Linked DNA regions of Macaca mulatta. The protein of the gene in region 1 interacts with the protein of each later gene in a pairwise test. Links are inferred from orthologs where the notes say so. Each region holds a gene or a part of one and is shown on either strand. Other genes may lie near its edges. The genes, in order: MOAP1 and THOC1.

What was found.
Region 2: the proteins of MOAP1 (region 1) and THOC1 interact in binary tests that used the Homo sapiens proteins (3 or more experiments, as listed by UniProt). The two-hybrid records come from large-scale screens. The link is inferred for Macaca mulatta from reciprocal best matches to the Homo sapiens genes MOAP1 and THOC1.

Annotation. Positions count from the first base shown.
Region 1 is NC_133412.1:166,431,553-166,440,934, forward strand, and holds MOAP1 (modulator of apoptosis 1), read right to left. Parts: upstream 5,603-9,382; 5' UTR 5,287-5,602; intron 5,091-5,286; 5' UTR 4,971-5,090; coding exon 3,915-4,970; 3' UTR 2,939-3,914; downstream 1-2,938. Other genes in the region: LYSET (lysosomal enzyme trafficking factor), read left to right, coding at 6,121-6,218, 6,964-7,375.
Region 2 is NC_133423.1:71,585,473-71,594,165, forward strand, and holds part of THOC1 (THO complex subunit 1), read right to left. Parts: intron 5,689-8,693; coding exon 5,570-5,688; intron 5,121-5,569; coding exon 5,072-5,120; intron 4,662-5,071; coding exon 4,566-4,661; intron 1,727-4,565; coding exon 1,644-1,726; intron 2-1,643; coding exon 1-1. UniProt on the Homo sapiens protein: Component of the THO subcomplex of the TREX complex which is thought to couple mRNA transcription, processing and nuclear export, and which specifically associates with spliced mRNA and not with unspliced pre-mRNA.

The DNA.
Region 1 (9,382 bases):
GATCTGCCCGCCTTGGCCTCCCAAAGTGCTGGGATTACAGCGTGAGCCACCACGCCCAGTTGAAACATAGCTATTTAAGGGGAGTATATTTTATTTTATGTGATTCCATAAACATAACCTAAACAAAAATTATGTAGTGTTTACCAGATACATGTCAGAACACCTTAAGAACAGCTTTCTGGAATCAGACTATGAGCCCTTACCCCTGGCATTGAATCTCTCTGATCCTCAAGCTTCTCATCTGTCAAATGGGGAAATAGCAGGTTTCTGAATAAGGTAGCATAGAATACATTAAGATGGAACTCTGGAAATGTCTGAGCCTGCCGCTCACTAGCTGTGAAACCCTGGGCAAGTTTCTTAGCTTCTCAGTCTCATCTGTAAAACAGGAAAAATCAAGGACTGAGCTCATTGTAGGACCAAATGTGTTCACTGGTGCTCAGTATCTGCTGTTCAACACCAGCTATCATCACTGACCCTGAACAGACCTCCAGGGCAGGGATTGTAGTCTAAATCTAATGACACAGTCTTAAGCCCTCAGCTCAGTGCCTCACATATGGAGAGGTGCAACCTGTATTAACACCCATGGGTGCACACATTCGCCATGTCTGCTTCCCACTACTGAAGGGGCAAGTGAGCGGCCCGTGTCACAATGCCTTGTACACTCCAAATGACTACACAAATATAAACAAGATCAGAATTACACCTTCTAATCTATTCAGAGTCCATATATCATCTAATATTTATCTTTCCATCGTGGAAGAATTTATGGGAACCTAATCATGACATTTAGTCATAACACAAACATTATACCATGCCTTTGAATCTAAAACCAAGGTGCACATTCCAAATTTGGGTACTTTATGAAATACTTTATCCTACCTTTCAGCAATTGTTAACCATGCTTTTTTTTTTTTTTTTAAGGTAAAAGATAACCCATGCCACCTGCCCAGGTCTTATAGATTCTCATATTCTCCACTGCTAAGTGTCTAATTTGCAGTAGGTTTCTGATCCAGAATAACGTGTAGCTGACTCTTGAGCAACAGGAGCTTGAACTACACAGGTCCACTTATCCACAGATTTTCTTCCGTCTCTGCCACCACTGAGACAGCAAGACCAACCCTCCTTTTCTCCCTCAGCCTGCTCAATGTGAAGATGACAACCAGGATGAAGACCTTTATGATGATGCACTTCTTTAATGAATTGTAAATATAGTTTCTCTTACAATTTTCTTCCCCCATTTTTTTTTTTTTGAGACACAGTCTCGCTCTGTTGCCCAGGCTGGAGTGCAGTGGTGCAATCTCAGCTCACTGCAACCTCTGCCTCCCAGGTTCAAGCGATTCTCCCGCCTCATTTCCCAAGTAGCTGGGGTTACAGGTGTGTGTGGGTTTCACCATGTTGGCCAGGCTGGTCTCAAACTCCTGAACTTAAGTGATCCACCTGCCTTGACCTCCCAAAGTGCTGGGATTGCAGGTGTGAACCACTGCACCCAGTCATATAATTTTAAGAACATTTTTTCTTTAGCTTACTTTAATATAGTATATAATACAAATAACATACAAAATATGTTAATCAACTTTCTGTTATTGGTAAGGCTTCCAGTCAGTAATAATAGTTACGTTTTTGAGGAATCAAAACTTATGTACAGATTGTGCAGTGGGCTGGCTCCCTGAAGCCCCAAGTTATTCAAGGGTCAACTGTACTCCCCTGCAATGCACATAAGATGGACATTTATGAAATGGAGCCAATGCCTGCCCTGCTTCCCTTGTGAGGCTAATGGGTATAGATACCCTGATGATTGCTTCTCTTTCTTGGCAGTAGAAAGAATATGGGCCTTGCAGAAAGAAAGAGGAGAGAATTCTGACCTAATCACTCACTACACTTACTACAGAGGATCAGAGGATAGAATTCTGGCCCAAGGATGTTTCACCTTGACTGAATTTCTTTTTTTTTTCTTTTTTTTTTTTTTTTGAGACGGAGTCTCGCTTTGCCCAGGCTGGAGTGCAGTGGCACGATCTTGGCTCACTGCAACCTCCGCCTCCCAGGTCCAAGAGATTCTCCTGCCTCAGCCTCCCGAGTAGCTGGGACTACAGGCGCCCACCACCACGCCTGGCTAATTTTTTTGTATTTTTAGTAGAGACGGGGTTTCACCGTGTTAGCCAGGATGGTCTCGATCTCCTGACCTCGTGATCTGCCCGCCTCAGCCTCCCAAAGTGCTGGGATTACAGGTGTGAGCCACCACACCAAATTTCTAAACTTTTGTGCCCATTTCCACAAGTGTGAAACTGAGTTTTCCTATATTGCAGGATTTTTTTTTTTTTTTTTTTTTTTTTTTAAGACAGGGTCTTGCTCTGTCACCCGGGTTGGAGTGCAGTGGTATGATCATGGCATGCTGCAGCCTTGACCTCCTGGCCTCAAGCAGTCCTCCAGCTTCAGCCTCCTGAGTAGCAGGGACTGCAGGTGCACACCACCATGCCCGGCTAGTTAAAAAAATTTTTTTTTACATTACCCAGGCTGGTCTCCAACTCCTGGGTTCAAGCAATCTTCCTGCCTCAGCCTCTCAAAGTGCTAAGATTATACTGTTCAACCTTTTTCCAAGAGGACTAAATAAGAGAGTAAACGGAGAAACTTTTAGTCCAATCTTCCAAGCAGCAGCATGCAATGTTCATTTCTTTCCTTCTCCCTCCAAATTTGACACACTGATACATCTGCACTACTTGCACTAATTTGTGCACTGTCTTGTTTCACCCCATTGTTTTACTGCTTCAGTGGAAGCTCTCTTCACTTAGAAAACAGTTTCCTACCCCTGAGCACCAAGAGGAAAGAGTTCAAGGAACTAAGTCTGTGTAGGTCCAGTGGTTTGCAGATTCATGCTTTGGGAACTCTTTATTCAAATGAAATCTCTCCTGGAACCTTGATATAAACAAAACAGACAACGTCATTTTATTACCATTCCTTTATTTTAGAAGCTCACATCTATAATTTTATAACAATCGTGAAAATGTTACTCAGAACTAGATGTTTTGATGACACATAGCAGAAATCTGTAAAGATGGTCATTGAAACTTAACCAATCTCAGCATTCTATTCCGCCTTTTGTTTTGATTGCACAGAATCAATATAATTTTGATTCATACAGAAAATAACTTAGTATCTTAACCTCCACTCAGGATCTTCATCATAAATGTAGGTCAATACATACCTAAAAACTGTCAATGATCCAACATGATCACATGTGACATGCTACACTTGTGCCTCGTACCAAACAAGCTGATATTTCAATGAGATCTGGTCAGCATATACACCCGAGCCTTGTCTGTCCTCTCAGAGCACTGCACACAGGTAGTGAAAGAACTTTTGTACAATAAGAAATTCACAGGGATGAGGCCGGGCGCAGTGGCTCACACCTGTAATCCCAGCACTTTCGGAGGCTGACGCAGGTGGATCACTCGAGGTCAGGAGTTCGAAATTAGCCTGGCCAACATGGTGAAACCCTGTCTCTACTGAAAATGCAAAACTTAGCTGGGCGTGGTGGCACGAGTAGTCCCAGCTACTCGGGAGACTGAGGCAGGAGAATAGCTTAAACCCGGGAGGTGGAGGGTGCAGTGAGCCAAGATCGCGCCACTGCACTCCAGCCTGGGTGAGCACGAGACTCTGTCCCTACAACAACAACAAAGATATTCACAAGGATGAATTTAAATAGGTAAACAGCAGTGTAGAACTACATCCTTCCTAGTCAATTACACCTTTAGGAGACTTTAAATAGGCATAGAAACGACAAAGGGCTTATACTGAGAATTGCACAAAAATGAGTTACTTGGCAGCACAAGGTAGGGATTGTATGTGTCAAAGAGTATATAGACTGTTCTACCTTCATGCTCTACTCATTGCCATATCCCTTCGTGATTCCCTGAGACTCAGGTGAAATGCCCTTCTAATACTTCCTGGAGAAGGGCCTCCTCCTCCTCAGCTGCCTCGTAATCCTTTATTAGTACCAGTAACTGCAAGAAACCAGGGGCTGGGCCATCCTCTGGCAGATTAAGCTCTCTGCGAATTGTTTTGTGGACTGCGCCAGCAATGACTTGGTCTAGGCGGGCCTGATTCACAGCATCTCTCTCAATTGCTCCTCTCTGTACCAGCTTCTGTAACAAAGGCTCCAGCCTTAGTACATAAGCCGACAACTTTTCCTCATCCTTCTGATAAGTGGTTAGATATTTGACCTGCAACTCTCTAGGATTATCTGTAACCCCAAATACCTCCTCAAGAGCCTGCAGGCATTCATCGACAGTAATTAAAGGATTGTTTATCTTGAGGACACGAATAACATCAAGTGCTGGGCCTCGAAGGCTCTCTAGCAATCGCCTTCTCTTCTCTACATCTGGCACCTGCCACGCCTTTATCATCTGAGTAGTATGAAACATCCAGCGTCCAAATTCTTCTTCTCCTGGTTCTGGAGGCTCCCTGCCCGAGAACACTCTCAGCTTTTTATACTTCAAGCATTGCAGGGCAGGCTGAAGAGCCTCTAATGCCTGTGCCAACATAGGGGCCCACATTTCTGGGATCATGCCCTGCTCTAGGTCTAAGGAGCCATTTTCATGTGCAAGAGCTCTGGTCAACTCACCCACTGTCATGCCCTCTCCCGCTAAAAATTCATTTAATCTGCTTAAAAATGTATTATCAGAGTCAGGGGGCTTAAAGATCACTCTCCAGATACCCCCTTTTCCCGGTATCTCCTTAGGGACCAGTGCGTGACTAGTCTCCGCAGTAAGACCTACTAAGGCTACTTTCCTGTTCTCATCCCTCCTGAACATCCTTCCAAGCAGTCTGTACTCCCCCAAGGGAGCTAAACCAGCCTGCAGAGCCTCCTCGATTTCTGCCACACTGCAGCTCTGGGAGATGCCGGCAATCAACAGCGCTTTCCGAGGGTTCATGTCCATCCCCCTGCACCAGTCTTCCAAAAGCCTCAAAGTCATGGTGCCCGAAATAATACACTTAAGTTCTAAATATTCCAGACCACAGGCGGCCACTGCAATTCAAAGTAATCCTCCGCGGTACCTCAGGGAAATCTCGTCAACGTGCCGAGGTCCAGCAGCCTGCAAAACACAGCAGACAGGTTAGCTAAGGGTGCCAACGTCCAAGGCACGCGTGCAGGCCCCAAGCCCCGCGCGCCCTGCCCCCCGCGGCGACTCCAGGGCCGCCGCACTGCGGCGCGCGCCCCTCACCCCTCCCAGCCCTGGTGCCTGGCGGATGTCGGGCCTGCAGGGCCTCTCCGGGCCAGCTTCCACTCACCGTAATCTAGTGCTCGGTGCCCGCGTCCGTGCGCCGGCGGCGGAGGTGCCTGGCCGGGCCCCGACGAGGTGCGGGAGGGCGGGCTCCCCTAGGCTCGGACGGACACTCAGGGGCCAAAGCGACTGATGCCGGTCCTCCAGGTGCTTGTGATGCTCTCCGTAGCAAGAAGTGATCGGGCGATGACAGTCGCGATCGGGCACCGGGAGGAAAGGCTGAGGAGCGCTGAGTCGCCAGACCCAGACAGCCGCCCACCTGAAGGGACGTGCCGCCACCCGCGCAGCTAGACCCCCAGCTCCAGCGCGGATTCCAGCTGTTTGGGTCTCGCTGGGGGAAGCTGCGCGGCGGGCGGGGGCGATCTGACGTCATGAGGGGGGGCGGGCCTCTGGGGGGCGGGGCGCGCGCGCTTCCGGCCCGAGCCGGAAGCCCGGACTGCGGCGGCATCCGGGACGGCGGGCGGGCTGGCCACCCGGGACAGGAAGGTGAGATCCGGGACCTTAGCTTTGCAGGCAGGCTCTGCCGGCGGCCGCTGACTGGCGCTGGGCTCGCGACGCTGCAGGGCTGCGAGGCCCGGGCCTGGCGCAGTCAGCACAACCCTGGTCGCTGCGTGCCGGCGCTGCAGCGCGGCAGGGGGCGGGGCCGGCCGCCTGGAGGCCCTTTTGGCGGGGACGCCTCCCGGCCGGGTCAGGTCCCCATAGCGGGTCTCCGGCGGCGGCGACGGGGGCCGGGCCGCGCGTGACCCGCCGCAGTCACGCCGTTCTTAATCACTAGTAGCTGGTGCTCCAGGCTGGCGGCGCTCACCTTTCTCCTAGCCGGGTGACCCAGGGGATTTATTTTATGGTGGCTTTCTCTGAAATGCCAAAGCCACCCGATTATTCAGAGCTGAATGACTCTTTAACGCTTGCCGTGGGAACAGGAAGATTTTCGGGACCACTGTAAGTGCTTAGGAGTTACTGTCTTAACTTGGGGGCTTGACTTGTAGCACCCCGCGTTCACATCTGAAGCAGTACTGTAAAGCCGAAAGTGTTTCACCTGTCAAAGTGAAAAGTGCTGTGGGAAACTAGTTTAATTCCAGTTTCTGGAGGGCGGGTATTATGGACCTGTTTAAGTAGGATGCAGTGATTTATTCTGAGATTCCCGTTAAAAAGCAGAACTCAGTATATACTGAAATCAATGGTTATTTTGTTTTTGTTTTTTTATTGTAACTATTACACAAAACCTGTAAGTTTTACATTTCTTAATAGGCGTTTAATTATTTTAAATCTTAAGTGTGTTAGTGGGATGCTTTCGAATTTAATTTTATTTTTTTGAGACGGAGTCTCGCTCTGTCGTCCAGGCTGGAGTGCAGTGGCGCGATTTCGGCTCACTGCAAGCTCTGCCTCCCGGGTTCACGCCATTCTCCTGCCTCAGCCTCCCGAGTACCTGGGACTACAGGCGCCCGCCACCACGCCCAGCTAATTTTTTGTATTTTTAGTAGAGAAGGGTTTCACCATGTTAGCCAGGATGGTCTCAATCTCCTGACCTCGTGATTCGCCCGCCTCGGCCTCCCAAAGTGCTGGGATTACAGTTGTGAGCCACCGCGCCCGACCTAGAATTCTTGGAGATAAAGCAAGTACATTTGGAGTAGTTGCGGTGACAGTACTACAAGACCCTAATTGTATTTTCTTTTTTAATTTGAAGGCACAGAGCATGGAGAATGATGAATTTCCGTCAGCGGATGGGATGGATTGGAGTGGGATTGTATCTGTTAGCAAGTGCAGCAGCATTTTACTATGTTTTTGAAATCAATGAGACTTACAATAGGCTGGCCTTGGAACACATTCAACAGCACCCTGAGGAGCCCCTTGAAGGAACCACATGGACACACTCCTTGAAAGCTCGATTACTCTCCTTGCCTTTTTGGTTGTGGACAATTATTTTTCTGGTACCTTACTTACAGATGTTTTTGTTCCTATACTCTTGTACAAGAGCTGATCCCAAAACAGTGGGCTACTGTATCATCCCTATATGCTTGGCAGTTATTTGCAATCGCCACCAGGCATTTGTCAAGGCTTCTAATCAGATCAGCAGACTACAACTGATTGACACATAAAATCAGTCACCGTTTTTTCCCTACGATTACAAAACTGCCAGTCCTATATGGAGTCTGATCACAAGACTGCAGTTTCTTCACAGATCTCAGGAAGTTGTGGTGGGGCAGAGGCTTTTTAAAAACATGTGATCAGGGGGCTATCTTTATCTGAATAATAATGAATTTTTAGGTAAAACCTGAGATAGAGTACTACAAAATCATGTTGATGACTTCAGATTTTGGAAGTTAAATCGTGTCTGTTATTTGCATTCTTTAGAAACTTGACTGAGTACCTGAATTCATATTTCTATTCTACTGTGCAACATAGTGATGATTCAGAAATTTTTCCTTTGGGGAAAAAAAATGAATATGAACATTTCCATTGTGTTAAGTGTAAAAAGGTCCAGACATGATCATAAAATTTAAATTTTATACAATTACTTGGCTTGCTTTAAATTCTTCACACTTAAAACACCGATTCATTCTATTGCAGCTAAGCCAGCTGTTTATACTTGCTGTCAGCTTATGAGACATTGCTAAAAAAAGTATTAAGGTAATGGCTGTCTTGATAAGCAGAATTTGTTCTTCCTCTTGGTAATGGCTAGCTAAATTATTATTAGTGCTTTTAATGGTTTTATTTTTTATATTTTTCTTTTTTGTGGAGAATGAGGTCTCGCCACGTTGCCCAGGCAGGTCTCGAACTCCTGGGCTCAAGCTTTCCTCCCCTCTAGCACTCCCTAAGTGCTAGGATTACTGGCGTGGCTCCCATGCCCAGCTATTTTTAATTAAAAAAATTTTTTTTTCCATGGCTTGTGACACAGCCTCAGGAGGCCCTGAGAACATGTGCCCCATTGCTACTAGTTTAGAAAACTATTTGGGAAGAGACTAAATGGTAAATGTTGAAAGGCTAGAAATAACTTACAAATAGAAGATGGAAACAATGTGTTCAATGAAAATAAGCAGGTTATTAATTAATTAATTAAAATTATTATTTTTTTTGAGACGGAGCCTTGCTCTGTCACCCAGGATGGAGTGCAGTGGTGCATTCTCGGCTCACTGAAACCTTTGGCTTACTGCAACCTCTACCTCCCCGGTTTAAGAGATTCTCTTGCCTCAGCCTCCTGAGTAGCTGGGATTACAGGTGACTGCCCCTACGCCTGGCTAATTTCTGTTATTTTAGTAGAGAGGGTTACAGCATGTTGGCCAGGCTGTTCTCAAACTCCTCACCCAAGGTAATCCGCCTGTGTCAGCCTCCCAAAGGCCTGGGATTACAGGCATGAGCCACCATGCCCAGCTGTATTTTATTTATTTATTTATTTATTTATTTATTTATTTATTTATTTATTTATTTTGAGACGGAGTCTCGCTCTGTCACCCAGGCTGGTGTACAGTAGTGCGATCTCAGCTCACTGCAACCTCCGCCTCCCAGGTTCACACTATTCTCCTGCCTCAGCCTCCCAAGTAGCTGGGATTACAGGCACCCGCCACCATGCCCGGCTAATTTTTGTATTTTTTAGTAGAGATGGGGTTTCACCATGTTGGCCAGGCTGGTCTCGAACTCCTGACCTCAAGTGATCCGTCTCAGCCTCCCAAAGTACTAGGATAACAGGCATGAGCCACCACGCCCAGCCTATAACAGGTAATTTAGTCCAGTCCTTATCAGATGCATGAGACCCCTCTAAAAGATGCTATCAAGTCATAATCTTTCTGATTTTCTTTTCTGGCCCAAGGTCAGGTCGTCAGGCGGTAGGTTAATTACATGAAGATGTGATCCTTGTATACCTTCTCCTTTGCATTTGTACTACCTCACATCTGGTACTAATACAAATAACTAAAACATGGACACAGTAGAATGTCTTCTTTTCTGTGTGAGATCAAGATATATTTTTATACAGTTATGTCATTAATACTGGAAAACATTTTATGCTTTTAATAATTTAACACTTTTTGGTGCTGATTCTGTTGAACCCTATTCTAAGAGCTTTATGGAAATTAACTCATGTTAACTCTGAACAACCCTATAAGATG
Region 2 (8,693 bases), on another chromosome or scaffold:
GCTACATTGAAAAAAAATGTATAGCCTGTCATGAAGCAGTCATCAGACAGGAGATAAATACTAGAATAATAGGTCAGCTACACATTCCTAGGCAACCCCCAGTTAGAGAAGTCTAGTCACTAACTATCTAGACCTATAGTTAATCTGTAAGGCAATCAGAATTTTACCTGACGGACAGAAGAACTCAAGAGCAGTATGACAATGATATAACACAATCATGAAGACAGTAGAAAGTTTCAAATTTGCATTTCTAAACATAATCAATAGATTCCCTCTGGGAATAAAGGCCTAAATGTTTTGGAAACGCACAAAGACAGTTCAACAATAAAATGAGCAAATAGCATGAATAGGTAATTCACAGAAGAAAAATAAATCCCAATCAACATATAAGAAGTTCCTTAACACCAATAATGATCAACAAAATGTAATTAAAACTAAGAAGACTTATTTTTCAAATATATACATCACTTAAGCCAATATTTTAAAAAAATTGATAATTCACACTGTTGGGGTGAGGCTGTGGGGAAAAAGGGAAGGCATTCTCCATGTGCCACTGGTGGCTGTATAAATTGGTATAACCTCTTCGAGAAGTAACCAGGAAATAGCTATTGAAATATGAAATATGCATATATTTTAACCCAGTAATTTTACTTACTGGAATTTATCCTAAAAAGACAATTGCATAATTGATGTAGATGATGCAGACTGATGCAATATTATACACTACCTGGACACTAACTTTTTTTTCACTATCAGACATAATCTAAATGCCCACAAGCAGAGAAATGTGATATATCCACTCTGATATATCCATTTACCAAGGGCCATTTAAAAATGAAGATAAATCTAAATCTTAAAGGAAGAAAGTGAATTTCAGAATAGTATGAATGACCTCATTTTGGAGAAAAACAACATGTTTGTACATATACCCAAAAAGTCCTGGTATGGTGAGACACAGAATGCTATGAGTGGTTACAGAAATAATAAAAATTTATAGAAAAAATACATATTCTGCAAAAAATAACCCAACGTTTAAAACAGAAAGTACATCTATTCTATAATCTACCTTATGATTAACACTATCAAAACAGAAAGTACAGCTACTTCGTTAATCCACTTTAATAGAAAGCTATGCCACAATCTACCATAGTCTACCTTGGATTACAGAATAACTGTACAGTCTATTTTAAACACTGCTTGAATTTTTTACATACAAAACATTATTTCTGTAAGTTGGAAATAAAGTCAAAAGTTTTTAAATTTTTGATGACTTATAGGCTCGTTTATATGAATTTTTTTTTTTTTTTTTTTTTTTTTTTTTGAGGCAGGGCCTCCCTCTGTCACCCAGGCTGGAGTATAGTGGCATGATCAAGGCTCACTGCAGCTTGACCTCCCTGGGCTCAGGTGATTCTCCCACCTCAGCCTCTCAGGTATGCTCTGCTAATTGTACTTCTTTTGTAGAAATGGGGATTTGCCATGTTGCCCAGGCTGGTCTTGAACTCTTATGCTCAAGTGATCTGCCCATCTCAGCCTCCCAAAGTGCTGGGATTACAAGTGTGAGCCACTGTGCCTGGCCCCACATAAGTTATCTTAATAACAAACCTGCAAATATGTTATCTGAGAAGGTTTCAAATCAGCCTCACCTTCTGACCCAGGGTGCTTTCCTGCTCATTGGTATTGAAAACAGTGACATTTTCCAGATTAAACTGACTCTGTAAGTTAAGACCTAGTAAAAAAAAAAACCAAAGAAGATTCAAAGCAAGTCCAGTGACACCTAAACTTACGTACGAATGTAACTTGTGTCATAATCAAAACTACAAAATGCTAAATCCATAATTAAAGAGCAGTCAAAATGAACACACTTGATTTTCAAATCCTTTCAAAACTTCATTTCTTAAAAGTACCTTTGGAGTATGGGCATACCTTGTTTTGTTGCTCTTCACAGTTTCTTGTTTTTTAAATAAATTGAATGGCAACCCTGTACCATACAAGTCTATCAGCACCATTTTTCCAACAGCATATGCTCACTTCCTCTGTCACATTTTGGTAATTCTCACAATATTTCAAACTTTTTCATTATCATATCTGTTACGATGATCTGTGATCAGTGATCTTTGAGGTTAGCATTGTCATTGTTTTTTGCCACAGATTTGTTTTTTGCCACAAACTGCACCCATCTAAGACAGTAAACTTTTTTCCTTCTTTTTTGGACAGCGACTCACTCCTGTCACCCAGGCTGCAGTGCAGTGGCATGATCATGGCTCACTGCAGGCTCAGCTTCCCAAGCTCAGATGATCCTCCCACTTCAGCCTCCAAAGTAGCTGGGACTACAGGCAAGCACCACCATGCTTGGCTAAATTTATTCGTATTTTTAGTAGAGATGGGTTTTCGCCATGTTGCCCAAGCTGGTAAGATGGCAAATTTAATCAATAAATGCTGTGTGTGTTCTGACTGCTTCACTGACCAACTGTTCCCATGACTCTCTCTCTCCCCTTGGGTCTCCTTATTCCCTGAGACAAGACAATATTGAATTTAGGCCAACTAAGAATCCTACAATGGACTCTAAGTGTCAAGTAAAGGGAAGAGTCTCACATCTCTCACTTTAAATAAAAACCTAGAAATGATTAAGCTTAGTAATTAAAGCATATCAAAAGCCAAGACAGGCTGAAATTTCTCTTGTGCTTAACAGCCAAGTTGTGAATGCAAAGATAAAGTTCTTGAGGGAAGTTAAAAGTGCTACTCCAGTGAACATATGAATGATAAGAAAGCAAAACAGCCTTACTGCTGATACAGAGAAAGGCTAAGTGGTCTGGATAGACAAGCAAACTAGCCAGAGAAAAGCTTTAACTCTCTTTAATTCTGTGAAGGCTGAGAGGTGAGGACCACAGAAGAAAAGTATGAAGCTAGCAGAAATTGGTTTAAGAGGTTTAAAGAAAAAAGCCCTCTCTGTAACATAACAGTACAAGGTGAAGCAGCAACTACCAATGGAGAAGCTGCAGTAAGTTATCAGAAGATCTAGCTAAGAACATTGATGAAGGCGTCTACACTTAACAGATTTTTCAATGCAGATGAAACATTCTGATATTGAAAGATGCCGTCCAGGACTTTCATAGCTAGAGAGAAGTCACTGCCTGCCTTCAAGGAACAGGCTGACCTTCTTGTTAAGGCTAACGCAGCTGGTGACTTTAAGTTGAAGCCAATGTTCATTTACCATTCTGAAAATCCTGGGGCTCCTGAGAATTATGCTAAATCTACTCTGCCTTGGGCTCCATCCATAAAGACAAACCCTGATGACAGCACATCTGTTTATAGCATGGTTTACTGAACATTTTAAGGCCACTGTTGAGACTTACTGCTCAGAAAAAAAAAGATCTCCTTTCACAATGTTATTGCTTATTCACAATGCACCTGGTCACCCAAGAGCTTTGATGGAGATGCACAAGGAAATTAATGTTGTTTTCATGCCTGCTAATACATCATCCATTTTGTAGCCAATGAATCAAAGGGTTATTTCAACTTTCAAGTCCTGTTATCTAAGAAATACATTTCATGAGGCTATAGCTACCATAGTGATTTTTTTTTCTTTCTTTCCTGAGACGGAGTCTCGCTCTGTCGCCCAGGCTGGAGTGCAGTGGCCGGATCTCAGCTCACTGCAAGCTCCGCCTCCCGGGTTTACGCCATTCTCCTGCCTCAGCCTCCCAAGTAGCTGGGACTACAGGCGCCCGCCACCTCGCCTGGCTAGTTTTTTGTATTTTTTAGTAGAGACGGGGTTTCACCGGGTTAGCCAGGATGGTCTCGATCTCCTGACCTCATGATCTACATTTGAGAAGATGTGCTCATTGCTACTGGAGTATCACTACTTCTGCGGCCCTCTCAGAGACCAGAGCTAGGAAAGACATATGTGTATACTAACCATACTCAGGCACTACTGTAAGCTCTTCACGTGTTTTAATTCATTTAATCCTCACAACATATAAAATAGGTGGTATATTAGCCCAGCATTAAGAAAAAGAGAACTGAAGCAATGAGATATTAAAATCTCGCATATCTGAACCGACTGGGGAGGGGGAAGGCTCTGGAGAATAAGCAATGTCCCATTTCAGGAGCTACAGAGTGGTTATACAGTATTTGTTTCATTATTATTTGCTTTATGTACTTTTCTATATAAGCATTATATTTCACAATAAAAATCTGTTAAAAAAGAGAAATGAAAGGAAGTCTATATAGCTAAGTAGTCGTGACTGAGAGAGAAAATGGAAACACAAAAATAGGCATACATTACGAAATATAGATGTGACGGTTTATATCTACATGTTTCAGTATGATTCAACTGTACGTTAATAAGCTTTGAACTTAAAAGAATCCATGACTTTGTTTCAAGATTACCTGTATTATATACTAGGACTGCTATAACTATTTATAAGTAAAAGAAAATAAAGTGACAATTTCTATGATGTCTTTCAACTTTTTAGAACCATTTTTCTCATTATCATGACAGATTTTAATCTATTAAAAACTGGAAAAGATTTTCCTGCAGAAAACTCATTTAACGCATAAAAGCTTACCTGATTTCTCAGACAGTGGGAAAAGCCTGGCCAAAAAGAGCTGAATCCGTCCACAGAAGACTGTATTCTGGGATTTAGACAATCTTCTTAGGAGATCTAATGATATATGAAAATGAACGTTACACAGAAAAGATAATTCTATGTTTATTACAACCATACCTAAAAGTTTCTAAACCAGTTTGTCGAGAGTATTTTCCTAAAGCAGTAGTTCTTAAAATGGGGGCAGAAACCACTGCCACAAAAAAGTACTAGAAATTAGGAACAAAACAAGTTCAACATGACATGAAAAAGACAAACTTTACTACATGTTTCTGACTTTCATTAAGTTTATGCCCAGAACAAAAACAGCTTAAAGTGAATGAGTTCTAATAAATCCGATTGTTAGTTAAAAATACAAATACCTAATCTATTTTTAAAATGTTATCACTGGTATTTAATTCAACCACATGTTTTTCTGGGCATATTTACATTTTAAAAAGCTATCATTTAATCACTCAATTACTTACCATTGCACATACGTAGTAAGTAATTTTTCCCAGCAGAATAGAATGTATTCTGAAATTAAGATGGAAATTATCACTCTTCTTCTGAACTTGTTACACATTCTTCAATAAGTTGCAGGAAGTAAAATATTAAAGAACACTAACATGCACTGAGAATCTACTATGCCACTTACACTTTTTTAAAGTAAATAACATTTTCAATGAAATGAAAATATTTTCAGATATAAGATAAGAAAACATGATACTGTTTTTAACATGTGAAAGTGTGAATTTTCAAGTTAGTTTTTATTACTCAAATTAAATCAAATTTTGTATTTCAAGTTTTTCTCCACACATGGTTTTTACTTGGCTCTCCCAAGAGAGCAGTATATAATTTTTTCATAGGCACAAACTTGTTGGCGATCAGCAATACTACAAATAATTTCTTTTTTTAAATCTACCCTCAGAACTCTGAATCTACAGAAATACAAAGTTAGCAGGAAAAGAAACTAAGGCACTTACTGATTTCCAAGTAGCAACATTTTTTTCCACAAAAGTGAATATTGTGTCACACTGATCCAAAGGAAGACAATCCAAAACATCTCCCAACAATACAAAAGGTGTAGATGCGGTACAAATACCTTCAAGTGGAGCACAAGCCAGTTTAAAAGTTTAAAAAAACATTAGAGTAAAACAGCCTATGAAAAATAATACTGAAGAATATCTTAAAAGGTACACTTTGTTACTCATAACAAAGTTTTAAAAGGACAAGAAGTGGAAGCAGCCTACAAGTCCCCAAACAGGACATATTTAAGTAATTTTTGATATGTGCACTCAGTAATGATGACAATAATTCTTGACAAGATCTAGAGCATTTACTATATGTCAGGCACACTAAGTACTTTACATATACTAACACATTTAATCCTTATAACCCTATGAAGTAGAGCATATCATTATTTGCATTTTATAGAATGGGAAAATTGAGACACAGAGAGGTTAAATAACTTGCCCAAGATCACAGAGCCAGTAAGTGGCAGAGCTGGGATACGAACCCAGGCAGTCTGGCTCCACAGTCTGTTTTCTTCACCACTAAGCTATTCAAAAGAATATAATGCAGCCAATTAAAAACGATGGTTATAACGACTATAATAACTTGGAAAAATGCTTAGGATATAATGCTAAGTGAAAAAGGCAGGATTCAAAATTGTATGTACATATGATTATGACAATAAAAAAATTCTTAAAAGACTATAGAAACTAAAACCATTATACCAGATGAATGGTTTTTAAAAGTAGAGGAATTATGAGTACTGTTTTCCCTTTTTCTCATTTCCAAATGTTTTGTAGTGTTGCTAAATTGTCTTTGTGATTTGAAAAGATTATCTTCAAAAAATAACAAGGTTTGATATTAACTATGATTTAACATTTAAAATAACAGTATTGTTTCAGGGGAAAGAATGGAAAAGTAGAAAGTTACTGTTTAAAGAACAACAAAATTAAGATATTCTTAAGAAAAGGTCTATTTAGTCTATTCAGACTACCTAGAAATACTTTTATATCCCTACTCATCCTTCCTTCTATTTTAAGGCAATGGGTACTTACTAACACTCATAAGTGTTTAAGAAAAGTAGTTACTTAGGCATGGTATATGGGGAAAAATATCTAGGGTGATCTAAGTCCAAAACAGTGCATTAATACACTATATCTAGAAAAAGGAAGAAATCTTTCCAGCTGTACTCTGCACTAGTAAGATCATATCTGGAATGTGATGTGAGGGATATTGCCGAAAAGCAGTGGTGGAATAAAACAGCAGATTTCAACTCAATACAAGGGAACACACCAATAACCACACTTGTCTAACAGGACTCAAACAGTGACCTCCACTAATGAGCATGATTCAGCAGAGGCTGAATGACCACCCATCAGGGATGTTACAGCAGGGAAGCGGTCTAGGCCAGAGATGAGACGGGACTAGGTGACCTCGAAAGTCCCGAACAATACTTAGATTCAATATTATATACCCTGCACATCCAAGAGATTTGAGAAGCATACTCTCTGCCCTTAGCTGCAGTACAGCCTGGAATAAGTTAACTCACATTAAATAATTAGAGAACTTTTTCTAGATTCTACTACCAAAATTCTGAGTCAGTAGAACTAAGCAAGGTTTGGGAATCTCATCTAAAAATAGATTCACTGGTGGTTCTGATGAGCCAGCAAGTCTGGGAACCACTGGGTTACAGTGTGATTCCCCCAAGAGCTTTCACAACCTGTGTCCCAGCTTCCACACCAATCTCTCTCTACCCTTACCTGGGCCACAGACATCCCTCCCTAGTTCCCACTCCGCAGCTCCCAAACACCATGACATGTTCATCCTTCCATGGTTTTGTTTACAATGTTGTTTTCTGTGTAAATACTCTTCCTCCTTTTTACCACATGGTAAATTTCAACTCCATCTTTCTAAGCATAGAGTGAATGTCTGCTCATCTAAATAACTCTGGTATCTTGAAGCAGGCTACTTCATCTATGCTTTTGAAACACACTCTACATAAATACACTGTAGCATTTGGCACATCCTAACCAGTGACCTTTGAATGTAGACTATGAGCTTTTTAAGGTTAGGCATTTTCATACGCTTTAACCAGTAGTGTCTCACACCAAACAGAAGCTCAATAAATATCGGCCAAATTGAATTTAACAAAATATATTTATGGATAATTTAAAAACATGTCACATAAGCAAACAATTATAATCTGTCTCAAAAACAAAAATTCTCCCTAAAATAAAAATGCATTTATACCTTTACAGTTTAAGCTCTTAAGTCCTTATCCTTCTCAAAAGTTCCAAGTATAGACTAGACTTTGTACAACTTCTTCATTAAAAACATCACCAGCTGTACAAGAGTAATGTATAAAGTTAATCAATGAACTAAGGACACACTGAAAATTGACAGAAACTAGACAGGAACATTGCATTGTGGAACTTATCTAACAATGCCTAATGAATGAATGAATGATTAGGCAACTTGTATAAAAGTTTAACAACGTGAATTTATGAACTTAAGTTCACAAAATAGTTTGCCCCTATACTGGGAGGTGTGTGCCAGTTTTTAATAGAAGCATCAAAATAACACATAATGTGAATAATGCTTTACAGATTAAAAAGGAGTTTTCATATACATTATCTGAATTAATCAAATGAGTATTTTAACCAAATGGTTAAAGAAGAATGCTGATAAATTAATTTTTAATTTCTTCTTTCTGCAAGTATTTAATGAGCTCCCATTATGTGTCAGGCACTGTGTACTATGTGCACTGTTTACCCAGTCTTCTAAAGCTATCGCATACAGCCATTTTAACAGGCCCCTGCCCAGTTTTCCTGCCAGCAGTCACTTCAAATGGAATCATTCATCTGCAGCTGCTCTTTAGTATGGCACCTAATGCCCTTTATAAATGGACCTAACCAGCTTCTTTCCTCATCATTCTCATTGTCCTCTCCTCCTCCTGCTCTACACAATTCTCTAGCTACTCCCTTCTTAGTATGTCTGACAAATTCTTCATACTTCACATTCTAGTTCTCATGTTCTTTTCTAAAATCTCTCCTGATTCCTTTAGACTGAAGTTTAGAGAGACATGTTGGCTCTATT